Arabidopsis thaliana: one gene and its partners. The protein of the gene in region 1 interacts with the protein of each later gene in a pairwise test. Each region holds a gene or a part of one and is shown in the gene's direction. Other genes may lie near its edges.

Region 1 (7,059 bases):
ATCTTTCAAAAGCAAAGAGCGGAGACTATGTGTTGCTTTCGAACATATATAGCTCCACGAAGAAATGGGAGAGCGCTCAAAAGGTCAGAGAGTTGATGAGTAAGGAAGGAATCCGTAAAGCGAAAGGAAAGAGTTGGTTGGAATTTGGAGGGATGATACATCGGTTTAAGGCAGGAGATACATCTCATATAGAAACAAAAGCTATATACAAAGTATTAGAAGGTTTGATACAGAAAACTAAGTCTCAAGGATTTGTGTCTGACACGGATTTGGTGTTGATGGATGTTTCTGAAGAAGAGAAAGAAGAGAACTTAAATTATCACAGCGAAAAGCTCGCGTTGGCGTATGTGATATTGAAGAGTAGTCCAGGAACAGAAATTAGAATTCAGAAGAATATACGGATGTGTAGTGATTGCCACAACTGGATAAAAGCAGTGTCGAAGTTGTTGAATAGAGTGATTATAATGCGGGATCGGATACGGTTTCATAGGTTTGAAGATGGGTTGTGTTCTTGCAGAGATTATTGGTAAATGAGTTATGCTACAAAAGCTCTCTATCTACATTCTTTGTTCTCAAACTCGCCAAAGGAACGATGAAGAAACTGAATATTACAGGAACTTTTTAGCTGAGTTTTGGTCCAGTGAACTTTCAGTTTTGATGGTGCACTGCATTGTGTTCAAGCACGATGCTGACTGAACTATCTTAAAGTGTTGGGAAATTGTTTGGGAATCTTAAAGTTTTAGGGACTAAATTGGAATAAAAGTGTAGTAAACTTGGTGATTTACTATTTTGTCCTACTCAAGTGACAGCCATGGGTGTCAGATAGGAGGGTATAAGGGTAAAAATGAAAACTGTTAGAATTAGGATAAAAATATCCGACCTGCCGGAATCGAACCAGCGACCTAAAGATTTTCTGTTGCAAACAACTACAGTCTTCCGCTCTACCAACTGAGCTAAGGTCGGATTTACAATCTAATCAACTTTTTAACATTATAAACCTTTCTTAGTATTTTGCAAGAATTCTTTAATCAGCTCATCAACCTCTTCTTAAGAAAAAATTCTACTATTAATTTTTTTTTTTTTTGTAATTCTATAAAATTCAGCTTCATAATAATATGCAAAAGCTGATATTTTATTCACAAGCCATATGAAGAAAACACATTGATGAAAGTCTCAATTTTATTCTTGATTTTAACAACATCACAGGTTGTACCCATCCCCTTCTCTGTTTTCAAGCTATGATTTATAATATTTTGGCTCTCTTATTATATCATTGACAAATTAATTTGTTCTAGCATACTTCATTACCCTCCCGGCTCCAAGCTAGGTGACTTGATCATGTAGCGTTGGTGCTCCACACGAGCTTGATATCTTCTCTCTTACTTCTCGGTTTTGGCCTTTGGAGGAGAAGCACAAAACCTTCTCTACCATTTGTCTTTCTCTTCTAAATTGGTTCCACTATAAAACCCATTCTTTATAATTTATTTCTTTTGTTGATTAACTAATGTAACATTTTTTTTAAAAAAGGACCATGACCATCAAGATGGATGTATAATTCTCAAGATCACAAATACAAAGCTTATGTTGAAGAACCACGAAAACCTAGAAAGTTCATAGATCCATATATATATATATTAAAGTTTCATTTCCCATCAGCAAAACCCTGATTGACCAGTCTTGTTCAAAAAGACATGAGAAAACTTGAGAGAAGAACAAAAAAAAAACATAAATGAATGAAAAGGTATTATCGTAAACTATGTAATAATAGACCAAAAATCTCCTCATTTTCTTTCGCATCTTGCAAGTACTGGAACCTTACTGGATTTGCACCAAACTTGGAACATAAGAACACATAAGTAGACACAACCTTTGGATTTTCTAAGATCCACTTCTCTGTAGTATCCATTCTCTCCGAGAATGTAAGTTTTGTAGTTCTTACACGTTTCTATGTCTAATTCACTAACCATTGCTACTTTCTTCTTCTCGTCGACGAGGAAGAAACTCAAATCTTCAAACCAATAGCTGTTAGGCAATGTCATATCAACTTTTAAGAACTTGCTCCACAACACTATATTGAGCTCAATCTTAGTTGTAATCCATATTCCCATCTCATACGCATCAGACTTCTGAAATAACACTGCAAGCTGCTCTTCTCTAACAGTAGATAGAAGTACAGTATCCTCATGACAACAGTGAAATGGAAGAGGAAGACTCGGTCCAAATCTTTCACATGTAAAATCAAAAGAAAGTAAAAATGCTTCCTCTTTCAATATGTCATGAGCAATAAAGTAAACATTACCCTTCAAGGACACACGCTGATTATCTATTATATGGTCTTGGTCGGTATTGACATCAATAACCGTCCACGCATCAGACTTAAAATCGTAGATTTCATACTCACGGTACATAGACGAAAACCATAAGATTTTGTGGTTGTTGTTGCTGTCGTATCCCATATAAAATCTGCCAGCTGGTCTATGATTAAACCTGCCAGCTGGTCTATGCTTATGCGAGTTGTTTCTAGGTTGGATCCACCTGGTTTGACCCAAGTAAGGGTTCCAAACCATGAGCTTCGAGTTATCCTTAGGGTTGCATAACAACAATAATAATAAGCCATCACAATGAAACACACTATCTATTTCGACTTGATTAAGTTTACCTATTTGCTTTATAGATGGATCTGCCAAGTCTTTGTGATTATGGAGATTGACGCTCATTAAACAAGCCTTTAAATCACATATCATGATCACCTGAATCTCCTTGGCTTCTTTACCATAATGGTTTTTTGTAAAGCTCGAATCTTTGGATAAATCATTCCATTGTTTACAAGTTAATTTCACTGCTTTCAAAGATGTTATTGGAACCCTAGAGAGTATCTCTTCTACCAAATCCGGGAAAAGATCAGACATCGTCGACATTTTTTCAAATAGAGATTAGGGTTTTCTACTTTCACGCTTGCCCACACTACTTTTTTTTTTGTTTATATATACAGTAAAAAAAAATTGTGAAGAAAAATAAATACTTACGTATAGGTGTATAGCCTTTTAACCAAAATAAAAGGACGTGATTTACATTTTTTTTTTTTTTGAAATATTTCAGTAAAATTGTTGCTACTAAATTAGTTTTTCTGTAAGACATTTCAAGTAGGTAAAGTAGGGCGCTTAGGCTGGCTGAAAACAGATAAAGGATTGCGTTAGCCTAACTTGGTCTGTTCATCGCGACGAGGAAGAGCAGCGGCAAAATTTTCTAGAATTGATTCAGCTTGCTTCCAATTCCGTATCTACTAGATTCTTTCAACATTGAGTTTCTTTCATTAGGTCAGCTCAAAGCATAAAGGTGTTCTTCATATAAAAGACATTAAACCAGATAGTAAACCATAAACTTAGGTAACATTAAATCAGAATATAAGACTTCTAATACTCGTATTTCCCATTCTATCATGTGCTTGTGACCTCTATAACATTCTCAATGAGAGAAGCATCCATGTGAACTTGAGAAGCATGAAACTGAAATCACAATGAACTTCTGGTGGTCATGGTAATATGACCCATAACGTTCATTACCACTTAAGCAAACGATCTTAAAAAATCTCTAAATTCGTTTGATTATATAATAAGACTAATTAATCTTGTTTGATATGATCATAAAGCGTCTTAACATCATCGCATCAATGTTTGTTTGTCTATGATTTTTCAGACAATTTAGAAAATAATAAAAAAAAAATAAAAATGGAAATCTGACGTGGCGAGTGAGAGGGCTTGTGAGGAGCACACTCTTCCACATCTTTTTCCCACTCTTCCTTCTTATCACTTTCCTCTTCTCTCTTCTCCTCTGATCCCACCACACTTTTGAACTTTCACTCAATGGCGATGCAGCTTCCTCCGACGACACTTTACGCCGGAAGATCCTCCGTGGTCTTACCTCCGACGACTCCAACCCTCCAGAGATCATCTTTCTTGCCTTATTACTCGATGAGGCTACTCGGAAACAAGAAGTCTCTTTCCAAATCCTCTGCTCCTAGATTCTCCATGCGTGTCTCCTCTAAGCAAGCCTATATTTGCCGTGATTGCGGGTCTCTTTCAATCTTGATCTCTCTTTCTCTCTTCTTGGTTACCTCTAACATACAAAGTTTGTTTATTTATCTTCTTCTCTTTGATTTTGCAGGTATATTTACAATGATAGAACTCCATTTGACAAGTTACCTGATAACTATTTCTGTCCAGGTATCGTGATTCATGTTTAAAGAATCAACAAGTTGTAGCTATCACTAGTTGGGACTGTGTTTGGTTTCAAATGGGTTTAAGGTTTTGTTTTCAGTGTGTGCTGCTCCTAAACGGCGGTTTAGAGCTTACATGCCTGATGTGAGCAAGAATGTCAACGACAAAGATGTGAGAAAGGCTAGAAAAGCTGAGCTCCAAAGAGACGAAGCCGTCGGGTAAAATGATCCTCCTTTCTCATCAATCTCACATATTTGTCACTTTGTTTCTTATAGTTATCTTATGGTAATCATGCAGGAAGGCTCTACCTATAGGAATTGCAGTTGGGGTTTTAGCTCTCGCAGCTCTTTACTTCTATGTCAATAGCACCTCATGAATGCAGTATCAAGAGAGACTACACTCTGCTTTTGGAATCATTTTTTTGTTCTGTATAAACATTCATCTTCGACTTGTTGACCACTACTGTAATGAAGTAAAGTATTGAGCTTTCTATGTACCAAAACTATATTGAAAGTGGCTGAGATGAGATGAATAAAGAGGCTAAGTGTGATACAGAGAAGATCAGACAATAGAAAAGGGGGTGCAAATTGGCTAGTCTTGCAAGATGAGGGACCCTTGGATTGGTTTATCGATAGAAGATTGATAAAGGATGTTCAAAGCAGACAAGTTTTCGTTGATGCTCGATGATGTCGCTGGCTTGAACTCGTACGGACCTTCCTTTGGTCCCCAAACCTGCCATGTCCCAATACCAAAACCCATTTCAGATGAGCTTTTTTGAGAATTTGTTGGTAGTAACATCTTTAAACAATCCAATAAGTGTAAGGAAGTTGGGATGTACCTGGTTTCGATTCTCATCAAAGCCGCGATCCCAGAGGTGTATCTCATTGTTTTTCAGAACTGCAAGATCTGAAGTACAATAGCTAGCCCCGTTCTGCAATCCAAGAAAGAAACGTCAAGTGTTTTCGTGTGGAAGCAGAAGAGTGTAAAACAAATAAACTGTGATTTTTCTTATAAGAACATTACCCATGAATTTGGAAATCCACCAGGTGAAGTTGAGCCTTCGTACAAGCAACGTTTCCCACGGTCACAACAATTCAGGTGTATAGTCGTCAAATGCTCTCCAATGTCCTATTAGTTTGATCATTGTTAGCTTGATTTCCAGTAACCAGACATCTCTCTATCGATACAAAACCTTAAGACTTACACCAATAACTTCTTCAGGAAGTGGGCGTTGGTCCTTAGGCCGGTCACAGAAATTTTTGTATTCCTCAGCATCTCTGATCGCATATGAACTTACCTGAAATAACACTGCGTCAAACTCTCGTGCATTAGAATACATAAGAAGATCTCAACAACTCAAACTCACCTCAACATCACATTTTAGCTCTTTTGGACACGGTTTCACCATATATAATCTCTGCGACCAAAATCAGCCCAAGATGCATAAGACTTCAGCAACACAATAATACAGTTTCCTAACTAAATCAACCATGAGGGAATGATTACATACTTGTCGAAACGGTTTCTGAGGAGTCCTCCAAAATGCCTGAAGAAAAAAGAGAATATCTTGTCTTAAACATGAAGAAAGAACACATTTATACATCAATCACCATAACACAACAAAGAAGTAAAATATGGGTCACCTGTTCGAGATACAAAACCTCTGAACCATCCACCATTTCAGCAGCTGGACAACTCAGCATTCTGCACAACCATTTCAAACTCAGAATGCTAGAAACAAACTAGAGATAGAGATATAACAGTTTCAATCTTGAAACAACTTCAAAATGGAGCATCATGGTCTAAATTCCACTAAAGAGCATCATAAGTTTGAGATAAAAGAACATCACAAAACCTTATGTTGAAGTAATTATCAGGATCTCTTGACGCTTGCTCCCTCGTAAACTTCAAAACCCAATGTAAACAAACTTCTCAATTCATAAAAAAAAATCAGAATTTCATAGTTCTGAGTAGAGGAAACCAAAAGTGTAAGCATTGAGATTGTGGGTTTAAAAACCTTCTCTCCGGTGAGAGAACGAGAGACGACACGGGCGTGATCTCTACGAGTGGTGGATTTAGTGAGACGCTTGATGAGAAGAGCACCGCCAATTAAAACCAGAGTCTTGACAACTAGACCACGAGCACGGCTCCACCCGTTTGAGCTCGATTCTGGATCCGAACCCGACTCGGTACCCATTAAAAGGTTTCGAATTTAGTTCAAAGATTCCATCTTTAGTATCTCTACTTGTTTCTCAGGAGCAGAAAATTTTGCCGATTAGAGAAAGAGGAAGAGGAGGAGGAGTAAGGTTGTGACGATCGACGTTTTCGCCTCGCCGAACCAGTGGTGAGATTGTTTGCCACGTGTAATCGTTTTTTAATTCTTTTAGTGGATTGAAAATGAAAATTGTTATTCTTCTAATTTTTATTTAAATTTCTTAAAACAATTGGTAATAAAAACGAAATATTAATAAAAATTATTTAGAAATAATTATAAATTGAGATGATTTGAGTAAATTTGAATTTATTTTTGTTATGAGATTGTGAGTACAAAAATAACAATTTTTTTGTATTTTGTTTGGAATTAAATTGCGCAATTTAACTGTATAATTTTTTTTCCAACCAAAGAATTTTGGATATTAAATGTCTAGATAAAATATAAATGAGAAATTTTTTGAGATATATTTTCTCAGTTAAAAGAAAAAAAAGTTAATGACAATTATATCACTACGAACATATTGATAAACCAAAAAAAATGATCAAGAAGAAAAATAAATTATATTCATAGAGAAATGGTTTCTTCATATCGATTCTTGTAAATATAGCAATCAACTAAAAAACTAAC
Region 2 (8,028 bases), on another chromosome or scaffold:
AGGAGTTCGGAGTAAATGATATGACATTTCTTATCTATCCTTGTGGATCTTATAATGCAAACCTTGCATGTTACAGTTTGGAAACGAAAGAGCTACTGCAACTTATGGTGTTCTTCCTGCTGCAAATGTTTCCCCTCCTTATGCTTTGGCGTCGATATCAGCAGTGCAATTCGGTCCATTCGGACACAGATTTGCTAGCGCTGCACTGGATGGAACTGTATGCACTTGGCAATCAGAAGTTGGAGGAAGGAGCAATATTCATCCTGTTGAATCATCTCTTTGCTTCAATGGCCATGCATCGTACGTTTCATGATCCTTGAGTCTATAAGTTCTTGTTCACTAATATGCTAAAAACACATAAGTTTTAAATTATTGCTGTCAGTCATGAAAATTACCATTATTTCTCTGTTTCTTGTTCTATTGGCTTCAGCTATTCTGTTTCTGTTATTTATGGTTGCAGAGATGTAGGATATATTAGTTCGAGTGGATCCATTGTTGCAGCTTCAGGATATAGCTCAAGTGGTGCAAATGTCGTTGTGTGGGATACTCTAGCTCCCCCTTCAACCTCCCAGGCATCTATCAATTGCCATGAAGGTCCTCCAATAATTTTTTTTGTAGAAGTGTTAGTATCATTTCCCATAATCACAACTCTTAACAAGTTTTTTTTTTGTTTTGTCCCTTTTCTTCTATGAAGGTGGTGCACGCTCTATCTCGGTATTTGATAATGACATTGGTAGTGGTTCAATTTCTCCTATGATTGTGACTGGTGGCAAAAATGGTGATGTCGGTTTGCACGATTTCCGGTTTATTGCAACCGGAAAGATGAAGAAGCAAAGGAACCCTGACGGTGGATCTTCGACTGATGGAGATCAAAACAAGAATGGGATGCTTTGGTATATACCAAAGGCTCACTTAGGTGCACACCCTAAAGCCTATTTTCACCTTCATATTCCAATTTTACCGGAAAAATATCCTGAAATTTGATTGACATTGATGCAAATTTCAGGGAGTGTGACAAAAATAGCGACAATCCCACGCACAAGTCTTTTCTTGACGGGAAGCAAAGACGGAGAAGTAAAACTTTGGGATGCGAAAGCTGCAAAGTTGATTCATCATTGGCCTAAACTACACGAAAGACACACTTTTCTGCAGCCAAACTCGAGAGGCTACGGTGGAATCATCCGGGTTAGTGAACCAAATCACCTAAAGCATAATCCTTTCATCGTATTTTCTCACAGTGGCTTTGGTTTCTTAGTAAACCAGAATCAAAGTAATGTCGGTGTATGTAATCGAATTTGGGTATGTGTTACGAATTTGGTGTAGGCTGGGGTGACTGACATACAAGTTTGTCCGAATGGATTTATAACGTGTGGTGGTGATGGCACGGTGAAGTTCGTCAGCCTCGTAGATTCTTCCTATGGCGATGCTAAATAAAAAGAAGATACATTTTCCGGGAAAGTTTTGCAGTCGAGAAAACGAGTTATTGCTACCTTGCGTGTGTTTATTGAATACGTGATTTTTTGTGATGTAGTTTTTTTCTCTATATGGTTTAATATTTGTGTATATACAAATATATTAAAGATTATGAAGCAGTAGAATCTTGAGTTGACCATAATCCAGATTTTAATTTATCTTTGACTTGACTTCAATCTATACTCGGAAATATCATCTATTTATCTTTGACATAGTTTTCGTTGACTTTGTTGCATCAGATTTAGACCAGATTAAATCGGACTGATTCCAATTAGATTGGTGTTAAGTGTAGTGCAATAGAACCGAAAATAAACATTATCAAGATTTAGTTCGTTATTGTAATTTTTTTTCTTTCTTTTTGGTGTTGGTTTGGTATTAGCTCGATATAGTTTAATAAGATTATGAAAAATTGACGGCTAGGAACCTGGCCACTATCGTATTACGTAGTGGAATATTATCTTATGGTTGATTATTAAACTGCTCCATAATTTGTGTTGTAGTCTTGTAGACGAAATGATATGAATCATCAAAATGTTTGATTAAAACCCCATTTGCCAAGAATTATTCCTAAAACTATTAAGTTAAGGCAAAGGTCCATTTCATTAATAATTATTCTAAAGAAGTTAGTTGTATATATAGTATATATATAGACTATGGTGTTAATTATGACTGAATATATTAGTGCTCACATAAAGCATCTTATTAGAATATCTTAGATTGCTTAAATAATTATTAACCACGTAATAAATAAATCTCATGTAACACTATCAATTGGAGAATAATGGAGAGAGACAATTAACCATAATGACTTGAAGACACTTGGCTTCACCTAACATTCAATTTCCTAGACGAGGCCACTATTTACATTCTCTTTACCTAACTTTCAGAACTACATTAAACCAAATTGACATGTAAAAAACCTAATTTTATATTTTCAACATGTCTATTTACCATTGGCCACTTTATTACTTAAATGAAAACGATGTCATAAAAAATATTAGTAGACCCTAACTTGAAATTTAAAATTTAATCGATCATTTAAAAATCAAAATCATTCGACGCAATTACTACAAGATTTTTATGTTTTAACCAAACATTTATGACGTAATCTACCATCGCGCGTAATCGTATAGTGATAACTGATAAGATAAAAGGTCTTATCCGTTAAAAAAGGAAAGGGAAGCCTTTTTTAGATCTTCTTTTTTGTCGCCACGTGTAATTAATATCTAATCGAACGGCTGTCAGGTGAAATCTATGGGCAAATCTGTGGACTCAAATACTCATTAACATAACTATGGGTCCTCTCAGAAAACGGTGCCGTTTTGCGGAAGCTTGCGTGCTGAATGACACAGAGACTAAGAAAACGATAATAAACTGCAAAATGATTCAAAAGATTTTAATCGAAAGCAAACAAAAATTCTCTGACAATCAGAAAACAAAAAAAAATCAGAACAACTCTTATCTTCTTCACGAGACTGACTAAACAATCATAGATTTTTCCGTTTTTTGGGTTTCGTCTGGTGTTACTCTCTCCTTCTGGTTAGTTCTTTTTTTCCGAATTCTTACAAATTATTGCGGTTTCATTAAGATGAATTATGATTTGGATCACCATCCGTTGTTTTTGTGTCCGGTTTTGATTCTTAGGTCTAATCGCGTTTCATGTTTTTTTTTTGTGTTCTTCTGGGTTTGATAATTTTATAGTTGAAGTTTTATGAAATTTGATTTCAATTGCAAATAATGATGATTTGTTTAGTAAGTTGATAAATTGACAAAGAATCTGGCTTTGGTTTTTGTTTGCTTCTAAGAAAATTAGGAACTAATTCTTCAATTTACCTGGAAAGCAAAACATATCAGATTCTCTAAAAAGTAGTTTTGTAATAAGCTTTTTTGGTGATGGATCTGTCGGCAATCAGAAAGATTCTTCCTTTGAAATAAATGATTCATATTATTTTTCCTATAAATAGATTCAAAACGGTTAATAAGATTTTGCTAAATCTACCTAATTTCTAAATCACATTGATCTTGAATTGAATTCTCAGTCTCTTGTCTTATCTTTAGAGTTATGGTGAAATAATGGCAGCAGCTGAAGCAAGAGCAGTGTGGCAAAGAACAGTTAATCGTTGCTTTGTCCAAGAAGACGCTAAAAGAGCTCCCAAGTTAACTTATTGCCAATCATCTTCATCCTCAACTGCTTCTTCAACTAAGCAAGTGGAAGTTTCTGGTTCTTCTCCTCGAGTTTCTGTTGAACCACGGACTCAATCATCTTGTGCAGGTTTCATGCCTCTTCCTCGAAACCCGAATTTCCCTGATCTGTTACCCCACAACACCAGACTGTGGAGTCATCCTCATCATCAGTTTCAGGTGAATAAGAAGCAGCCATTGGAGGATGAGGTTAACAATCAAGGTGTATCTGAGAAGAAGTCTGAATTGGGAGCTGGAGAGAAACAAGGAAAGTCTTTTAATTCCGAAAGCTTTCAAGAGTTTATAGAGTTGATGGAGACAAGGGAGAGTTATGGTTCAACTGGGTATGATGAGTCCTCTGAGAAAAAGTTAAGTGAGCTCTCTTTTGATCCTAGCTCGCCGTGGAATCTTCTCTCGAGTGAGAAAGCTGCACCGTGGTGGCGAACTACGGATAAAGACGAGTTAGCTTCCTTGGTTGCACAAAGATCTCTAGACTATGTTGAGAATTGTGATTTACCAACACCGCAGAAGATGAAACGATCTTATTATGGTAGTCCACGTGGTTTTGATTCTGATGGATTGAGAGACTACTCTGTCTCTGGCCAAACCATCAAGGGTACAAGCAAAGGAAGCAGCTGCAAGAACAGACCCGAGGCTTCATCTGAGTCTGATTTAAGCAAATCCGAGCTTCTAGAAGCACTGAGGCGTTCGCAAACGCGGGCTAGGGAAGCGGAGAATATGGCTAAAGAAGCTTATGCAGAGAAAGAGCACTTGGTGAAGATATTGTTGAAGCAAGCCGCAGAGCTTTTTGGGTATAAGCAATGGTTACAACTGCTTCAGCTAGAAGCACTTTACCTCCAAATCAAGAACAAGGAGATTGACAATAAGAACAACGACGATCCAGGGGTTTCCATCCCTTGTTGGAGCAATGGCAAAGCAAGAAAAGAGGGGAGAAAGAGAAGAAGCAAAAGGGGTAAACCGAATGGAGCAAAGTACGCGGTTGGTTTAGCATTGGGGATGAGTCTTGTTGGTGCTGGTTTGCTTCTTGGATGGACTGTTGGATGGATGCAGATGCTATCGTTCTAGTTTAAAGAGAAGAAAAGAGACAAAACTTCATCTTTTTTCTCATTGAACAGCTTGATGATGTTGAAATGAGTTAAAAGATTGGCTTCGAATCAGCTTTTGGATTTCGTTAAGGAGAGAATGTAAATTGTTGTAAGAATTTTGTTAATATTGTGTTTACTAGTTTGATCTTTTCCTTCAAAAATCATATGAAATTATCTTCTTTAATGTGTAAGTAAGTATCTTTCATGTTCATGTAATATCTGCATATATTAACTACTGTACAGTGTATATGATCTTTCTTTCATGTTCCTAGAGCTTCGATTTCTTGAAAATTTAAAATACTTAGTAATTTTTTACTGCTGGAAGCAGAATGAGAAAGAGAAAGATATACAGTATATATATTTTTTAATTACGGCAAAGGTGATTATAATGGGCCGAATTGCGAACATTTGGGCCCAGTAACCCGACCCGACCGGAGATGATCTTTAATTTCGTTTCAGGTGAGAAAATGGTTTACTCAGGAGCAACTATCAATCGAATCAGACATTGACGAGGAGCTTTGGTCGTAATCCGAGGAAGAGATTAAAATCGGAAAGTGCGAAAATGCCGGTCATGGAGAAATTGAGGATGTTCGTGGCGCAGGAACCAGTTGTGGCTGCTTCTTGCTTAATCGGCGGTGTTGGTATGAACCCTAATCTCAATCTTAATTCCTCACCGATCGATCGCATTCTCTTTCTTAGAAAAGGATTTGCTTTGGGATTTATCTAGTTTCTGGAATTCCTCTTTGAATCTATAGAGCTAGTTTGCTCGATTGTAATTTGAGAATATAGAGAAATGCCTGATCCAAATCTCTCTATTCGGAATCGTCATTTCTTTGGGTTGTCAAAGAGAGTGTATTTTAAGGAGTTGAAATTAAGCTTAATTTGGAACCATGTCTTCCATTATCTCCATGTATAAGTAGCAAAAGATTATGTCTTTCTTGAACATTAGCAAAAGGCAATTGTGTTAATATACATTTGCTGATGGATTCTCTTCATCTTGTAGGACTATTTTTGCCTGCGGTTGTGAGGCCTATTCTAGACTCTCTCGAGGCTTCCAAACAAGTTAAAGCTCCTCCACTTACCGATGTATGTATTAGAATATATTTATCTCTGTGGAAATTCCTTTTGCTGCTAAAATCGTCATCTATTTCCTATCTAATGAAATGTCTCTGATGTGGGAACTCTGCATGATAGTTGTTCTTAGTATCCGTGTAGGCGAATGTTTGGACGTTTCTTTTTTTTGCTATGTGATGTAGCCTATACATCATCTCGATGTTTTGTTCCTCCTGCGTCTTCTTGTGATTTGAGAGTTCCATCTTTGGTTCATCCATGCCTTAAAAATCTATGCTTTTCATCATTGGACGAGTGTCATGATCACATTTTGTTACTGCCAAAAATGGATTGGGCATAAAAGAGACTAGTTAGTTATCACATTGCTTAGTTATCCAACGCTTTCCTATATACTCTTTACAGGCAAACAAAGGCGTCAAGTATTAACTCAGATCCAATTTGCTTTTGCAGGTGATTGCTGGTGTCACAGGGAAGAAACAGAGTTAAAACAAGCAATGACTTCCCCTGTTTTCTTACATTCAGATGATCCCTATTCCTTTTTTGTCTTTTACTCTCTCTATTCACAATGAATAAGCCAGACTCATTTGTTTGTTATGAAACTTAATATAAAGGCATGTGTGTACACTCACTTTTGTTCATCACTTGATCAGATGTATTCATTTCTTAACAACAAATGAAAAAAGCTTGAAACTTTTCTTGCCATGGCTCATGAGTCTTAACAACATTATATATGCATATCACACAGATATTAAATTACAGTAAAATTGCTAATCTTACATACACTCTTAATAGCTCTTTTTCATCATCTTGATCCCTCAATAGATAGATAGATAATGCATATTGAAAACAGGCTTAAACACTTCCACTTCTCATCTTCTTGTTCTTCCATGGCATTGCTAGCTTCAATCCCTTGCATAAACTTCCCTGCATTTCCCCAACCAAACCCGTTTCAGCGAAAGACAAGACTTGGGAAGATGAAGAAGTTATGAAGAAGGAGCGGAGAAACACAAATACTTTACCCAAAAGTGAGATCCTTTAACAGAACCACCACCATGGTAACTCCCTGATCTGTTAAACTTCATGATCTTCATGTTGTTCTCGTTGATATTATCTCCTGCTCTCTGATTCTCCGACAGAAAGACATAATTACCCCTCACAACAACATCCCCTCTCCCTTTCCTCCTCAAGAACCTCAAGAGCCCATGTTTCCTCTCGGGCAAGGGCATTTGCGTGAACTCACCAGGAAGGAGCAAACGAGGTGGCAAATCAAGACACTTGGGGTAAGAAAGAGGACGAAGAGGGTGCTTGGGCTTGCCTGGTTGGTCTTCCCAACAAAACGGAACAGAGGCAAGAGTGTGAATCGGAGAAGCAAACACACGTGGACTCGCAGGCGATGAAGTGTACAACAACGATCTTGACTTTGCAGCTAACACAAGTGCAAGCTTCGCCTTCTCTTCTTCCTTGTCTCCTCTCATTTTTATGTCTTCTCTGTTTCTTTCTTTCTTCTTCTTCAGCTTAGTCTTAGGCAGTTTCTTTTTAGGTAGTGGGAGAGTGAAGAAAAAAAAGACAATGCATTAAATATATCTCAAATCATTTGTGATTATTAATGATCCAACGGTGGTTTTTTACTGTTGACTAGATAGACAACCATTCATAAAAGTCAATACTCTTTTGTTATTAGAGGAAATTTGACTGACCACGTCACCAAATAATAGAATCATTCACCAACTAAACTGTTATTATTTGTTCTTACTATTCAAAGAATACATTGTCACTAAAGTTCAAACAGTGTTATTCTATAAGGGATGGTATTTTTACATTTTAAAGCTTCACTATTTACTATAGAGGTGAAAATAAATAAATATCACCCAACTGCTCAAGAGGTAATGTAATAGTAGTACAAGCAGAAGCAACACGTGACATAGCCACGCGCACCTAAACCACGTGAGGCACGTGAACTTAAAATGGCTGAAGGATTTTGCGCTTTGTAAACTTGAGAAAAGAGGCGCGTGAGAGACTGTTATTTGAACCATCTCTTTTTCTATTTGGTCTTCTTAACCATTTTTTTTTCTAATCAATGGTATGTATGTGATTAACATTAAATCATTTTGTATTCATGCAACTGATATACTCTACTACATTGAAGAAATTCTTGTGATCTCATCAAATTATACGAATTAAAATTAAGGAATTATGA
Region 3 (8,946 bases), on another chromosome or scaffold:
TGCCAAGACAGATGTGAAATCAACCCTTGCTTTCTTTTAACTTAAAATAGTTATAGGAAGAAATTACTCTTATTCAGAGAGACGAATTTAAAAGTCTAAGATGTCACGCGTAACATTCAAACCTCTTAATAAAAGTTTAGTATATGGCTAATCTATTCCCGTTGATTGATTTCAATATTTGGTAAGAAATGAAGATGATCATAAAAGTGCTACACAGCTGTGGGAAACAAAGAATCTGAAAAATGAGACATGAGGCATGTGGAGATAAATAAAAGTGCAGGTTTTGTTGTGCTTATGTGGACCAGCTTTTCATTCTTTCACACTTTTAATTCTTCAACCCTCCCCACCAGAAAAATAATTTATCATGTCTTCTCTTTCAAGACTATCATTAAACTCTGATTGTTAAAGCTTATTTCATTAAACAACTCTATTAGAAACCCTAATTCCATTTGTATGGGAAATTGAAGCTATAGTAGTTAACTTCTAACTCCATGCAAACCATAAATACCTCTCATAATGATAGTAAGAGTATTATTTTCTCATTGATTATCACAATAAATCTGATCAAAGAATTTGTGGAGATCGATAAATAAAGATACTCCTACTATTATTATGACAGCATAAAGGATTGACAAACATTGTTGTTCGAAGTTTTAATCTATTTTATGATATGTTAGAACTTAAAATCATAGTCCTAAAAATTTATAACTAACAATACATAAGACATAATTTTAACTTACATTAGAAAAAAGTTTTGAAAACTAACCCATTTAACTAATTTAAAATAATCCCATAACTTTCCTCTCATTTATCTCTCTCTCTCCACTCCTCAAGTCTGTACTTAGTAGGTAATAGTTTGACTAAGCTAGGTTTTTTTGCAGACATACATTAATTAGTAACACCATCAATAATCATCATAAAAGAAAATAGAGAGAAAGAGAGATAAATGCAATAATGGGAGATGGACCAAAGGTGCAGGTGGTGAAAGATAACAAACATATGACAATGTCTCGAAATTAAGAGGCACCACCACACATACACACACACTCTCTCTCTCTAGTAGGTTTGTGTTTTTAAAATCAATATTTTTGTTGGATTCTCATGTGAAATAAAACTTGATGGGTGATAGGAAACAAACACACATACGTCATCATCATCCTTAATTTCTATTTCTCCTTCTTCTTCATCATCAATATCAATCTCATCTTCCACTACTCCTCCCCTCTAACAATAAGCAGCATCTCTATAATCCCTAAGGTGAGTCCAAAAGTCGTCTATTAATTATTAAAGGAGAGATTTTTGCATGCATTATTGAATGATTTATAAGTATTAATATTTAACAAAGTTTTGTTGTTTTGGGTCAGATTCACAATGGAGCTTGGAGGAAAATGCAATGCAATTACAACCACAACAATGATCTCAACAGAAGTAAAGCCACATACGGATCCGGAACCAGAAGCCAAACCCGAATCAGATCCATCCATGGCTTTATTCCCGATCAAGAAAGAAAACCAAAAACCAAAGACACGTGTCGACCAAGGAGCTAAGTACCGGGAATGTCAGAAGAACCACGCGGCCTCAACCGGAGGACACGTGGTGGACGGATGCTGCGAGTTCATGGCCGGCGGAGAAGAAGGTACACTCGGTGCTTTAAAATGCGCCGCCTGTAACTGTCACCGGAGCTTCCACCGGAAAGAAGTGTACGGACACAGGAACAGTAAACAAGATCATCAGCTGATGATAACTCCGGCGTTTTACAGCAGTAACAGCTCGTACAAGCCACGTGTAATGCATCCAACGGGTGAGATTGGACGGAGGACTTCATCTTCAAGCGAGGATATGAAGAAGATTCTGAGTCATCGTAACCAAAACGTTGATGGGAAAAGTTTGATGATGATGATGATGAGGAAGAAGAAGAGAGTGAGGACAAAGATCAATGAAGAACAAAAGGAGAAGATGAAGGAATTTGCAGAGAGATTAGGGTGGAGGATGCAGAAGAAAGATGAAGAAGAGATTGATAAGTTTTGTAGGATGGTGAATCTGAGGAGACAAGTTTTTAAGGTTTGGATGCATAATAACAAGCAAGCAATGAAGAGAAACAATAGTAACATTAGTGAATAGTTTGATGATCTGATAAAAGTGAAATAAATTTTTACAATCCTGTTTTGCTTTTATATATAATTTTTGCCCTTCAAATTATTCAAAATCTTGAGTATAAATCTGTGGAATCTTGTATGTTTTGATTGTTTTATATTGTATCTGGGATTATTTTTTTCTTTTACTTAATTTGTGGTTGAACAAAGTGATAAAATTGGACCTTCAAATAAAGAGGGAAAAACGTGTGTAATTAATAATTTAATGCACAAGTATGGTTAGTACAATTAGCTGGAATAGCTCAGTTGGTTAGAGCGTGTGGCTGTTAACCACAAGGTCGGAGGTTCGACCCCTCCTTCTAGCGTTTTTTATCCTTCAAATGGCTGTTTTAAAATTCTGATTCATACTTTTTTTTTTCTGTCTGAATAGAAAGTTGATTTTGTTTGAAAAATCTGATTCATAATCATGTACATGCATGATAACAGTCTGATGTTAAACCATCGTAAGGAGCAGATTTAGCATTCTAGAATAGATCTATTCTGCTTACTTTTACCCCAAATTTAGATTTTTCCATGATTAATATATTGTTAGATATGGATCAGACAAAGAAGATTAGTCTAAACTCTAAAGCCATTGTCCATTTGATTTGTCTAAAAGATGTAGACGTAATAGTCAGCATAAACACACATTTGACCGGCGATTTAATAGGGACGAACAAGAAGATGTATACATCATGTGGGTGTAACACTAACACATGCTTTATTAATTACATATACAAAAATTTAATTTAGTTAGTTGGAGATCTCATACACACAACAATAATTAAAATAAAAGTCAAACAGATCTACTATTTTCCTTTTCATATCACAAAGCAAACTTGTCCTACTACTTAAATCAACACCATCACGAAGAAAGTTTCAAGAACTCACCTAAAACACAAACAAAGGAACTCCACTTTTTTTCCACACCACATCACACCATGTTTAGAGCCATGAGCACAAGGAAAATCCATGGTGGCTACGAAAAGCTCGGCGATGAAGAAGCGAGACTGAAGAGGGTCTCTAGCGTTCCGGCTAGTGTTTATGGTCATTCAAGAAACCCGGTTCAAGAAGTGAAGAAGACACCGACAGCGAAACCAACCGGTGGTTCTGTTCATCCTTTGTTTAGTTTCTTTGACGTTCATTTTCAAAGAAAGAAGAAGAATACGGCGAAGAAGAAGAGTTTAGCAACGGCGAAACCAGAGTTTGCTAGGTATATGGAGTATGTGAGAGAAGGAGGTGTGTGGGATCCGAGTTCTAACGCACCAGTGATTCATTACAGATAGATTCGTCAAGGAAAATGAATAAAAGATTTGTATATCGTCTTTTTTTTCCAAATATATAATCTATGAGAAAGCCAAACAATCCTTGATTCGATTCGAAAAGATGCATCAAACAATGTATTAGTCATTTTTGCACGAATTGATGAGTGTTTTGTACACTCTCATGGAGATTCCGTGAAGAATAAGATAAGTTCAAGGGTCTTGACTTTAATATATGATCAAAAAGTTGATTTTGGTTTTCTTATTTAAAAGGATATGTTATATGAACTGAATCAATTCGTAGTAGTTGCTAATATAGAAGCGGTCCCAGAGCTGATATCTTTGAATCATGTTCTATATTCTTCATTTCCCACCTTAGCTTTTATTTTAAGAATTCAAAATCAAGTGAGAACAAATTCAAAATAAAGTGAAGAAAAATTCAAAATTTCCAGTAACAGATGCATATTTGATTTTCCCTTTTCATCAAAAAATAAAGTTACGAATAAAATATTATTATATTAAGGAGAAAAAAATAGATATGATCATAGTCTCATATTTCTTGTGAAGACCAGTTTTTTTTTAAAACTATATTGTTAACCAAGTTTGAATACTCGCTCTTTATTAAAAGCGTGTTCACATGGGTCACGTAACACGTTTAAGAAAAACCTGGCTCTAAAAATATTATCAAAATCCCAGATTTGACGAAGACAAGAAAATAAAAAAAGACTTTTAAAATCGTTTTCAAAATGGGCTTTACAGATTCGTGAACAGACAAAAATTGGGCCATGGGTTAATTTGCTTTTTAGGCCACGTCACCGTTTTAGTGACGTTTCTGAATATTCGAGATGTGACCCCACTTAAACAAGATCCCTTGGACGACGTCGTTTCGACCACTTCACGAAACCCTACCGTCGATTTATTTACACAAAGTACCCCTTCATTGTATAGCGCCGTCCTTTGCTGTAACTCTTACCGTCAAAGGTTATATCCGTCTTTCCAAATGTCTCCCAAAGACACGTTTTAAAAAAATAAAAATAAAACGAAGAAAATCAGAAAATGGGTCGCCAAGAATAGAGGAAGAAGCAAAGAAGAAGAAAAAAAAAAAACAGAGCGTTTCAAATATTTGCGGAGATACAAAGCTGAGAAGAGATAAAAAAAGCCTTGGAGAAGAGGTTTTCTTCTTCTTCTTCTTCTTCTTCTTCTTCTTCCCTCCTCTCCTCTTAACGATGTCGTATCACGCTTCTTCTTATCTTCTCCGCCGTCGTCTTACTTCCGTATAACCTCGATCTCTCACCGTTGAATCTTCCTCAGCTTTCTTCCGTGGAGATCTCCTTCGCGCTCGAGGTAAATCCTTCTCTTACGCCTCCGGATTTGATGTTTTCACCTTTCTCTGTTTGTTGTTTCGGTGAAATTTCTGGAAATTTTCGTTATGGTAGGTCTGAATCTCGAGAGATTCGATTCATTTTCATCGGCTTGACCTATTGTTAGCTTCTAGATTATCAGATTTGTGATTTGATTTTGCTAGCTTCTTTTTTTCGTGCGAGAATTGAATCAAGTTTTGTTTAGGTATACCGATGATTGTGGTTTGAGCACGCGGTGTTTGCTTTGTACCTTCCCAATAGCTAATTCTCACTTATGCGAATGACCATTGTTGGTTGATTTCTGATTCGATTGAAATGAAGAAACGCTCTTTGTGGTTTCGGTTTTTTTTTATTACTAATTTGATACTTGAATGATTGCAGAGCCATGCCTACTTTTTCTGCTATTGCTTTGGATAGAATGCTAGAGCCAGGGGCTTCCACGTCTGTCGAGAGTGTTCCAAGCACAACTAATTTGTTTTATTCAAAGCCACCGATATCAAAACTGGAGAAAGGTAAAGGTAAATTACCTAATGAGAGGACAGTTACTCGTCCTCTGATGTCACCTGCTCTCTACGCCACACCTGATGCGATTCCGCTTCCTAATTCGCCATCGTCTTTCCCACCGTCGCCTTATATCATCAACCACAAATCACGTGGACCTCCACGTCTTCTTAAAAGCTCTTCTGAGGCTAATGTTGTGTCTTCTTCCCACCAGAAGACGCTGGAAGAGGAAACTATTACTGCTGAAACAGATGTAAAGGTTTCCCCTCGGAGGAGGTCCACTTCCTTCTCGTTTCCTATCACTGAGGTTACTGAAGATGATTATTCCAATGGAGTTCATGCTCGTACGGTTGGAAACTATAATTTTGATGGTATTGTTGATGGTCCTGTTGGAAATTGGAGTCCGCTTGATGGGAAAAGTGGGAATGGGAAGTCAGAGTTGGATAACGCTGCTAATGGTTTAGAACGGGTAAATGGTCTGTCTGAGCCAGTCCCTATTAAAACAGACAAGGAGAGTGAGTCAGAAGATTTCTATGACCCAGGTGAATCAGCAAGCTTCACAAGTAACACAGACGTAGAGGGTGATGCTGGGGACGAAAGTTCACAAAGACTTGCCACACCTGTGGGAGAGTTTTATGATGCTTGGGATGGTACTTATCTAAATCTTATTCTCTTACTAATCATTTCCTTATGAGATGGCTGTCAATGCTTATGATCTTAACGTTCCCAGGATAATATGATTAGTCACATTTTAGAGTCCCTTCTTTTTAACCTTTGAGCATTTGAGGGTATTCTTTCTTTAATATGCAGTAGTAGCGCCTTGTCATGCTTTGGAATTTTGTTTTCTTCTGGATATATTGAAATTTGAAAGTGATGAGTTATCTTTCCAAATCATGATGATTAATGCATTATTCATTTCCCTTGATGAGTATCTGCAAAGTATCCTGAAAGTTAAGCTTTAACTCGACTCTATGATTCGGAACTATTTAGTATTTTGTAATCCATCTAATTTCTTGGTTTTTCAGAACTATCAACCGACAGTGGAATGCAGAGTTCAGTTAATAACATCGAATCTGAATTAAGTGAGATAAGGCTGAGTTTACTAATGGAAATCGAGAAGAGAAAACAGACAGAGGAGGCTTTGGAGCAGATGCAAATTCACTGGCAGAGACTCCGTGAGCAGATGGCTCAGGTGGGTCTGTTCGTTCCTATTGATCCTACCGCCTCCACCAACAACATGAATCTATCAGAAGAACTACGCTGTCAACTCGAGATTGCGAGGTTTGTCTCTGACTCTTTAGGCAGAGGTATGGCAAAGGCCGAGGTAGAGATGGAGATGGAATCTATGCTCGAAACTAAGAACTTTGAAATCACACGGTTGTCTGACCGTCTACACTACTACGAGGCCGTGAACAGAGAGATGTCTCAACGAAACCAAGAAGCCATAGGTAGTAGAAAATCACTCTCATTCACCAAATTTATCCATTGTCATTTTCTATCGTATAATAAAAATCTAATCTCACAACTCTGTTGATACCAGAGGTGGCACGACGAGAGAGGCAGAAGAGAAAGAAGAGGCAGAGATGGATTTGGGGATCAATTGCAGCAACCATTACTCTAGGAAGCGCGGCATTGGCATGGTCTTACATTCCTGCAGCCAAACCATCATCTGAAGTATCTCTTAAGGATGAATGATTAAGTAAGTCTCTTGTATACGTAGTGGGTTTGATGCAAGCAAGAGAAATAAAGATACAGGACGTTTAGCGTACGCCTTGTGAATAGAAATATATACATATTTGGTTATTGTTTTAACTGTTCTCAAGAGGATGTATAGCTCCGAGTAGCTGCAAACACATTTTTCTTGCGGTGGCATACTGATGAGTGGCAGCCACAGTCACTAATATTTGGTTCGGTTTGGTTCTTATTAACATTCAATGTTAGCTCTAGTGTAAGGTGCTTGCCTTGCTTACATCTTAAAGAAACCTTATTTTTTAAAATCTTGATTTTAACAAACGGGCTCTGAATCCTTCATTTCGATATTTTGAAAAGAATTTGAGGGATAACAATTTTAAGCTTTATAAGTAAAGCTTGGTATTGCTTATCTCTCGTCTTTGAACCAGTTAAGTACAACGTACGCTGCGAAAGCTAGCGCAAATGTAGCTGCAAACAGAAATACAGATATTTGCACTAATAGAGATGCCTCGAAGGCTTCACGAAGAAGCGAATTCCACATTGTGTACCATAAGATGCAGAAAAGAGAACCAACAATGGCACCCACCACCACTTGACTGCTTGTGTGCAGTTTTTGAGAAACCCTTAACCGTATCTGTGATAGTGCAGAGAGTGTGAGATCAATGGCAACTAAATGATTTCATATATGAATGAAAAGCTTGAATCAATTAGGTGAAACTTGTTATAACAGACTTACAAAGTATGAACCCAATGCGAGGATTAAGCCGCTAAGAAACAAAGACACACCGTTGGTTCCAAGCCATTCCATAACTGCAGAAAACACGACTCGAGTGAATCCGTTGTAAACAGTTCCACGATAGCGAACGATGAGTAGTGAACAGCTTAAGCTGCTTACCGGATAAAACAGCAAAGACAGATATGAAAGAAATGGATTGAGCATGAGAAGATGGCATCCCGGGATCAGATCGCAATGTTGTAGTAGGCCTCTCTTGGTTAAGTATACGTTTAAGAACTACAGAGAGAGCAGAATTCGAAATCGATCCAATGACTGCCCACAAGGCTGCACCATCATGTCGCAAAAGAATGATTGAACCAAATAGAACAGACACAACCCATTTGCTCTGTCATCATTAATTAAAACCGGTCAGAAAGAAACACACATTGATACTGAAGAAACATTTCATCGAACACATTGCGTGCATGAATGAGATTTCCATTAACTAACCAGACGATTAACAATGGCTTCAATCCCACCGCCGGTGACCAAGTCTTTCCGTATCTCCGATGAGTTGTTGATGAAAGATTCTTGCTCCAACGCTCCAAATTGTTCGTTACCGTCATTGCTCCTGCTTCCGACTCTGCTAGAGAATCTTTTAACGGTCATAGATCCAAAGCTAGAGACAAACAAAGGAGACCCACGAGAGATAATCGAACTATAGCTCGAAAGTCTCGATCTTTTAAGGTACGAGGAAGAGTCAAAGTAGAAATTGCAGGTGGGACAGTGAAGAAGAAGAAGAAGAGAAGACGACGCTGCCATTTCCAAAAGGAAGATAAAAGTCAACGTAGTATCAAATCCATCGCTAAAGGAAGTAAAATTCGTAAGACGAAGAAGGGAAATATGCAAATCGAAGAAATCAATGTCTGGTTGAGAACAAGAACCTGAGAGAGAGCTTTCTTCTTCAAATCAATCTTCAAAGTTTTTTTGCTCGAAAACGAGTTTGTTATTTGTTGTTTACCTTGACGCATTTTATAATATCGTGACCACTCATATTCTTCCACGTGGCATGTAGAATAAACGGGTAAACCAATATTGAAGCAAATTAATGGGCTTTTGTTTCCTCAGCTGAGGCCCATATATTAATTAAAACCATTCTTAGTTTGATGTAGCATCAGGTGATCTGGAGTGGCTTCATGAGATATATGTCTATGGGCTTAGTTTTGTAGCTCTTTTCATTTAGCTTTTGTACAAATCCTCATTAGTTTGTGCCCAAAAAAAAA
Region 4 (7,296 bases), about 11 Mb from region 1:
CATGTAAAATGATATGTTTTCAGGTATCCAATAAAATTATATATTTAACCTCGTATAATTGTAAAATTTAAATCTGTTTATAAATCTTAGGGGGTGAACCCAAGTATTTTTCATAAAATTATGTCTCTCATACATACAATTTTAAATTTCTACTTCACATTTATTTTGTTGAAAATTATATTTATTTAATAAACTTAAACAAAATCAATTCATATTATGTTCGTACTTTTTTATTTCAAATTACAAATTTAACTTGTTCTTTGATCAAAGAAACCATCATATGATTTTCCAGCTATTTTAAATTACAAATTTAGTTTGTTTTTTGTACCGACTCATAGAAATAATTTTAGATATTGGTTTCTTAATCACAGAACAAGTTATATTTGTAAAGTAAAATAAAAACTACACAAGATTTTTTTTTTAAGATATGGAAGTTTTGAAGTTCACAAGGAAGAGAAAAGTTAAAACCTTTCTTACAAAAAAAATCATGGTATTTAAACCTATTTTTAACATGATATATGAATGATAAATATATAGATGCATGCATTATGCATAACATAACTATGCAAAACATGAGCAAAACATATGCATATGAAAAAACTTTTATATGCAAATCACATCACCTAAAACATGTTTAGCATTGTGAACATCATGGAATTCATTCATTATGTAGAGAAATAAAGAAAAAAGCTTATTAGAGATTATACATATTTTAAGGATATCAACTAGTCTATTAGAACATAATATTACTGCCATGAATGGATGGAAGTAAGGCATATTCACTCCAAATTGCTGCATTTCCCTATGTCGCTAGAATCAACCATATGGAAAACTTTTCCACACTTTTCCACATTTGTTTTAACAAGCGTGTCAAATGAGATTCTCAACTAAAACAAAGACTGATTATTCAAACTCACCACAAAGGTAAAGAGATGATGTGCTTAGATTGTGATTGTAACGAGGCAGCACAAAATTCACACGAACAAGGTTCTCATGGCCAATGAATGATTGAACAAAAGTTAATGTTGTGAAGGCGATTGCCGTCATAACCAAAACCTTAACTACATACACAACAACAATTATAAAAGGATCTTTTGAGCTATTGGTCATACTCATATTCTTTGATTAAAGAAACCGTTATATAATTTTCCAGCTGTTTTAAATTACAAATTTAGTTTGTTTTTTGTTCCGACTCATAGAAATAATTTTAGTTATTGGTTTCTTAATCACAGAACAAGTTAAACTTGTAAATTAAAATAAAAACTACACAAGATTTCTTTAAAAAAAAAAAAAGATATGGAAGTTTTGAAGTTCACAAGGAAGAAAGAAGGTAAATCTTTTTTACAAAAAAAAACATGGTTTAAAGTTTAAAATATGTTGGAATGTATTCATGGTTTCACATAGTCTAAATTAAAATGATACAATATAGAGGAATTGTTAGAAATGCTTCTTTTATATTTCTCTTTTTAAAAATACTTTTTTCTAGCTATTCTTTTAGTTTATATTTTTCGATGACCAAAGGTTATAAATTTTACAAGTTTTTCTAAAAAAAATAGAAGTGTAAAAGTTTTGCTAAGTTTTGACGGTCTTAAGTGATTTTAGTTTTGGGCTTTTGTATATAAAAGAGTAAAATATAAAAATCAAAAATCAATATTATACAATTACAATTTAATTACATTAGCTAACTAAACTGTATAAACATTCATTATCTATACAATAGTATCTCTTTTTTTAAATTATATATATATATATATATATATTGCTTCAATATAAGTATCTGAAACTTTAATACACATTATTACATAATATCATTATGTACTTTTGTTATCATCAATATGTTTTCAACTATACACCTCCTAAATTTAAATCACAACCTAGAGATGTTGTGGTGGGTAAAAAAGCCCAGCCCGACCTGAACCCGAAATAAACCCGCCCACCAAAAACCCAACTTTAGAAAACTCAGATGGGTTTTTTATTTAGTGGGTAAACCCCGAAAAAACCCGATTGTTCCGAAATATATTTTGCTTATAAATATATTTTAAATTATATTTATTTTCTGTATTACATATATATTTGATGGGAAAAAGGTTGAAATGTTAAATTGCGTTTTTTGGCGGAAAAATGTTAAATTGTGTTTTTGGCGGGAAAAATGTCAAATCCTTTTCTTGGCCGGAAATGTTGAATGTCATTTTTGGCCGAAAAATATTGAATATCTTTTTTGGTGTGAAAATGTTAAATTCCGTTTTTGATCGGAAAATGTGAAATCTTCTTGGCGGGAAATTGTTGAATGTCTTTTTTGGCGGGAAAATGTTAAATTGCGTTTTTGGCGGGAAAATATGAAATCATTTTTGGCGGAAAATGTTGAATCGCGTTTTGGCGGGAAAATGTTGAATTGCGTTTTTGACGGGAAAATGTTGAATATCGTTTTTGGCGCGAAAATGTTGAATGTCTTTTTTGGCGGGAAAATGTTGAATGTTTTTTTTGGCGGTAAACTGTTAAATCGCGGTTTAGGGGAAAAAATGTGAAATCTTTTTTTACAAGAAAATGTTGATTCACTTGAAAAAGGACTTAAAAAAACCCGTGGGTACCCATAACCCAATGAGATAAACCCATATGAGTTTTATTTATTTGGATACCCAGTGGGTTTTAACCCATCATTAACATCTCTATCACAGCCTTTTTTTCTTTTTATAAAATATATTGCACTGTGATAATTTTAAAATACGTCTGTTATAAAAGATACAAACACACATACAAATACACTTCATATAAATACTAAAAAAAAAAAAATCCTCAGTGTAGCGAGAGTCCGATCCTAGTTACAATTATTAGACTACTGAAATGCTATGATATTATATTGTTACCAAACTTCGAATATCCACTTTAATAACAGTTATAAAAATTGTATTATCGTAATGTGTTATCAATACTTATATTTTTTATAGTGTAAGAATAGTGTAGGAAAATACTTGTTTATATTGGAAGTCAAAATTAAATAAAAATGACATAAACGATACTATGAGAAGAAATCAAACTGAGTAAAATGGGCATAATCCAACTATTTTGTGAGCCGATACATATGACAATTTTCGATCGCTGAATCATGGTTTGGAAATATGTTTGATTACTACTCTCTCTTTCTCGGTCAAATTAACATCCGTAAGAGAGAGAAAATTATTCAAACCCCTAGGTTTATGGTGTACTTCGAACCTAGCTAGACTGGGTATTTTGACAATTTCAGTGTCCTAAAATATCTTCTAATAGTAAGAAAATGAAAATGATGGCAAAGAAAAATCGAAAATTTCATGTTTTGACAAAAAAGAAAAAAAAAAAAACTCTTTTTAATCCTAACTAAGTAAATATTAATGTTTTGAGAACTGAGCATTTTATAATCTTTTCCAAAAAGGCAACTATTAGAGAATATTATCTGCTGAAGAAGTCCCACAAAAAAAAAAAAGATATAGAAGCCATGACTTCGTTACTATATTACACATGAAAGTTGCATCAATTCCCTCTCCCTCTTCTTCATCTTCCTCTTTCTCTCCATTATGGATTTAGGAACAGAGATAAAATCAGACACAAGACAAGAAGAACAGAGACATGTTTTCGAAGATTACCCTGAACCTCTTAGATACACCGTAAGTATCACTTTTACATAGTAATCAATTTCTTCTTCATATATAACTATCATCTTCTTTTCTCAATACATATATTTCTTCGTCTTCTTTTTATTGTAGACATGGGTTTTGCGAGTTTCTATCCATTGTGAAGGATGCAAGAGAAAAATCAAGAAAATATTGAGCAAAATCGATGGTAATATATAAACTAAATCTAACGTTTTATTCTTTTTCGATATTGATTAACTAATTATGAGTATTTATATGATTTTATTTTAGGTGTATATACAACAAATATCGACGTGAAGCAACAAAAAGTAACGGTGATCGGAAACGTAGAGCCGGAGATTTTAATCAAGAAGATCATGAAAGCCGGTAGACACGCCGAGCTATGGCCAACGTCAATGGAGAACAACATTAACAACGATTGTAACTATCAGAAGAAACCAAAGAAAGATAACGAAGAAACTAGTGGAGATGAAGACGACGACGAAAACAACAACAACAACAACGGCGGAGGTGACGTCGGTGGTGGAGGTGGTGGTGGAGGAGGAAACTTTGATCAGGTTAAACAAGTTGTTACGTTTGTAAACGGTCAACTTCAACCACAAGGAGATGGAGCTCCGAAGAAGAAGAAGAAAAAGAAAAAGAAGAAGAAAAGCTTAGGGAACACGACGGTGGTAATGGAAGGAGGCGGCGGCGGCGGTGGCGGTGGTGGTCCTCCGCAAAACGATGGACCGCCAGAGACAGTGATATACTCAGCTCCACAAGATCATCACATTATACACGGACCACCTCCTCATCTACATCATCATCAGCAGCAGAATCATCCGTATCCAACGGTTCACAGTCCTCCACGTCATCATCCACAACAAATGTACGGGCCGGGTCCGGGACTGCCTCCTCCTTCGTTTTATCATACTCAGCCTCAAACGGCGCCGTCTTATACGGTGAGTTACAACACGGTGCATGGGCCAATTAATAACGGTGGGAATGAGACGGCGTCGTATTACACGGCTCCTCCTTCTCATCCGACGTCATATTATTCTTATGAGTACGTGGACACTGGCTACGAATCTCCACCGCCCGAATTTTATTCGTATAGATCTCAACCGTCGGAATCGTTTGAGTCACTAAGCGAAGGCAATCCAAACTCTTGTTGCGTTATGTGATTTTGGAAGTTTTTTTTTACTGCTTTTAAGAATCAAATTGACATAATTGGCCTTGGAATGGCATCTTGTAAGTGTTATTAGAGGGGTATTTCGTAAACAATCAACAAAGAACGATATTAGTAAGTAATTTAATCCAACATAAAAATTTATGTATTTCGTAATTTAGCTATCTTTTGGTAAATGAAATGCGAAAATGTACTTCTTTAATGGAAAATTCAGCTATTCATGGGCTTATTCTTTCTTTTTCTTATAATGGTGATTTTTATAATTATTTTTTATTTTCGTCTATTAGATTCGTATAATATAAGCGGTTTATATTATACAAATCTAATACGCGATAATAAAAAATAATTATAAAAATCAACATTATAAGAAAAAAAAAAGCATAATGATTAGGAAATATAAATTGTTAACATATATTGATAGATTTAAAATGACATGATTGCAACAACAAAAAAATTGTAGTATGATTTAAGTATACATTATGATCTACGAAATTTGTAATACCTAAGAAAACATACGGTTTTCATATAAACCAATACCCTATACGGAAGTGACGTGGTGAAGTAGTGTACTATTTTCGAATATCATTTTTTGGGTGCAAAATTTAGAATAACATTTGAGGAGAATAATTGGACTTGGAGAGGAATAAATCTTTTTCCGAGAGAAATAAAAAGAGAGATTTTTGGTGAAAGGGAATAAGAATAATTTGAAAAGGAAGATAAATATGAAGAGAAGGCATATTTAGAAAGCATATTTAATGACAAAGAATATGTAAATAGTGTCCACAGGGAATCGAATTGTTAAATTGGTCTTACATGTTTTAATGTTATACAAACTATATTATATATTGTACTTTTTCCCTAATAAACAACTAACGTGTGAAACTAAAACCGTTAATTACCTATATATACACATGATGTAAACATGTCATTGATACTTTAATTCTTGAATGGTTAAAAGAGAACCGACCAAGATTGAGAATCTGATTCTAGTTAGTAAAACCAATCCACGATAACACATATAGATGTGAAAAGAAAAAAGTTTAAAATTATGACATTATGTCATCACTTAAAGTTATCGTGTGATGGCATAAGGCTGGAAAAAATTGTATGACTATGATGGCATAAACACAAACTAGATTACATTATAGATTATGGTATAAATTGTTCGTGTTTCAAAGAATAGTTATCGTTGTTATAATCAATATTCATTTAATCACATGCATTGAATACTTGCACATATATAACGGTCAATTTTTGTAGTTTTTTTTTAAGTTTATCTAACCACATTTAGTTAGTGTCCGTAAACTAAACTATAAGTAAATTTCTAATCCCCAATGTTTTTCAGTAGTGATACTATTTAGTGTCCGTAAACTAAATTGTATATTGTTTGATGCAACATATTAATGTTGGCATGTCTCTTCAGAGATTCTTTTTAGTAGAAGTTTCATGTTTCTTTCGTAGTAAAAGATTGACATTTTTTGACCTAGATTTATTGACTGTTATAATTGTGTTTGACCAAAGTGTGGAAAGACAAACAAAAGATTTGGAGTTGATGTTGATGTTGTATATGTGATGTTAAACATTAGGAGGCTGAGACCAAGCAGGGGAAATGTTAATATTTACTAGCATTAGTTAACGGGAGTTCAGTACCCATTTGCGGGTTAGGATCGAGTTTTCGGATTTAGAGATATAGAAATCGTTTGGGTAATTCTAGATTTTGCGTTTGGATAGGGTTCGGATTCGAATTACTCGAAGTTCCCAAATATCGTTTTTTATAACCAAATATATCCAAACTACTCGAAAGTACAAAAATATCTAAAAACCTTGAATATTTTTATCCAAATTAAATACCCAAAAACATCTTAAATATCCGAAAATCCTAATATTCTGACACTAAGATTATTACAAATATAAATATAAATAATATATGATTACTATGTATTTAAATTGTGAATTGTTCGGTTATCCGTTCGAATCGGGATGGTTCGGATTTTTGAGTTTGGAAGGATTTTGGGTTCGGTTTCAGATCGGATATTATGCCCCACCCCTACTGTTGACCCATATGAGGTATTGGGTTTTGTAACACTTGTAATTTTTCTTTCTATATTATTATTAAGTTTTGGTACATTTGTGTTTGCCCAAACAAAAAGTAGTACATACGTTTCAGTAATTGTATAGTGTTCAAAAGGTAAAGAAGAAGAAAAAAAGGTGTATTGTAATTTGTAAATATGAATTAAAGTATCTTCCCAAAATGATAATTAAGGGGGTAATAACGCTTATTCATTCCGATTCGAACTCTAAAGACTAACACCTCAGAATGATAAAAAGGTCGAGAAACTGGAGATACTATATCGAACTGGTGAAAAATTAGAAGACATGGTGCACAAAAGCATTTAAGTTAAGTTCCACGACCCAAAGCCAAAATCATTACTTCAGTATGAGGCAATCTTTCGGAAAAAAAAAAACAAGATTCGACAAAAAACAAGACAGATTAAGCTCTTA

Evidence for each region.
Region 2: the proteins of AT5G51010 (region 1) and AT2G46550 interact in a two-hybrid assay, tested with the Arabidopsis thaliana proteins (one large-scale study listed by BioGRID).
Region 3: the proteins of AT5G51010 (region 1) and AT3G50910 interact in a two-hybrid assay, tested with the Arabidopsis thaliana proteins (one large-scale study listed by BioGRID).
Region 4: the proteins of AT5G51010 (region 1) and AT5G27690 interact in a two-hybrid assay, tested with the Arabidopsis thaliana proteins (one large-scale study listed by BioGRID).

Annotation. Positions count from the first base shown.
Region 1 is NC_003076.8:20,740,752-20,747,810, forward strand, and holds AT5G51010 (Rubredoxin-like superfamily protein), read left to right. Parts: upstream 1-3,801; 5' UTR 3,802-3,863; coding exon 3,864-4,072; intron 4,073-4,164; coding exon 4,165-4,223; intron 4,224-4,317; coding exon 4,318-4,435; intron 4,436-4,514; coding exon 4,515-4,593; 3' UTR 4,594-4,808; coding exon of another isoform or gene 4,809-4,949; 3' UTR 4,950-4,952; downstream 4,953-7,059. Other genes in the region: AT5G50990 (Tetratricopeptide repeat (TPR)-like superfamily protein), read left to right, coding at 1-530; AT5G51000 (F-box and associated interaction domains-containing protein), read right to left, coding at 1,782-2,918; CRL (crumpled leaf), read right to left, coding at 4,809-4,949, 5,056-5,148, 5,241-5,345, 5,422-5,514, 5,584-5,634, 5,728-5,763, 5,861-5,921, 6,073-6,122 and 1 more.
Region 2 is NC_003071.7:19,108,976-19,117,003, reverse strand, and holds AT2G46550 (uncharacterized protein), read left to right. Parts: upstream 1-2,797; 5' UTR 2,798-3,012; intron 3,013-3,531; 5' UTR 3,532-3,546; coding exon 3,547-4,740; 3' UTR 4,741-5,043; downstream 5,044-8,028. Other genes in the region: AT2G46560 (transducin family protein / WD-40 repeat family protein), read left to right, coding at 77-300, 461-594, 695-916, 1,007-1,185, 1,324-1,434; AT2G46540 (fiber), read left to right, coding at 5,323-5,401, 5,764-5,846, 6,282-6,317; AT2G46535 (uncharacterized protein), read right to left, coding at 6,684-6,755, 6,851-7,306.
Region 3 is NC_003074.8:18,915,049-18,923,994, forward strand, and holds AT3G50910 (netrin receptor DCC), read left to right. Parts: upstream 1-4,278; 5' UTR 4,279-4,738; intron 4,739-5,136; 5' UTR 5,137-5,140; coding exon 5,141-5,906; intron 5,907-6,281; coding exon 6,282-6,704; intron 6,705-6,796; coding exon 6,797-6,951; 3' UTR 6,952-7,253; downstream 7,254-8,946. Other genes in the region: HB28 (homeobox protein 28), read left to right, coding at 1,372-2,121; AT3G50900 (uncharacterized protein), read left to right, coding at 3,074-3,418; LPPepsilon1 (Phosphatidic acid phosphatase (PAP2) family protein), read right to left, coding at 7,355-7,582, 7,685-7,758, 7,844-8,069, 8,174-8,485.
Region 4 is NC_003076.8:9,800,248-9,807,543, forward strand, and holds AT5G27690 (Heavy metal transport/detoxification superfamily protein), read left to right. Parts: upstream 1-3,399; 5' UTR 3,400-3,548; coding exon 3,549-3,638; intron 3,639-3,737; coding exon 3,738-3,813; intron 3,814-3,896; coding exon 3,897-4,789; 3' UTR 4,790-5,019; downstream 5,020-7,296. Other genes in the region: AT5G27700 (Ribosomal protein S21e), read right to left, coding at 7,294-7,296. UniProt on the Arabidopsis thaliana protein: Heavy-metal-binding protein.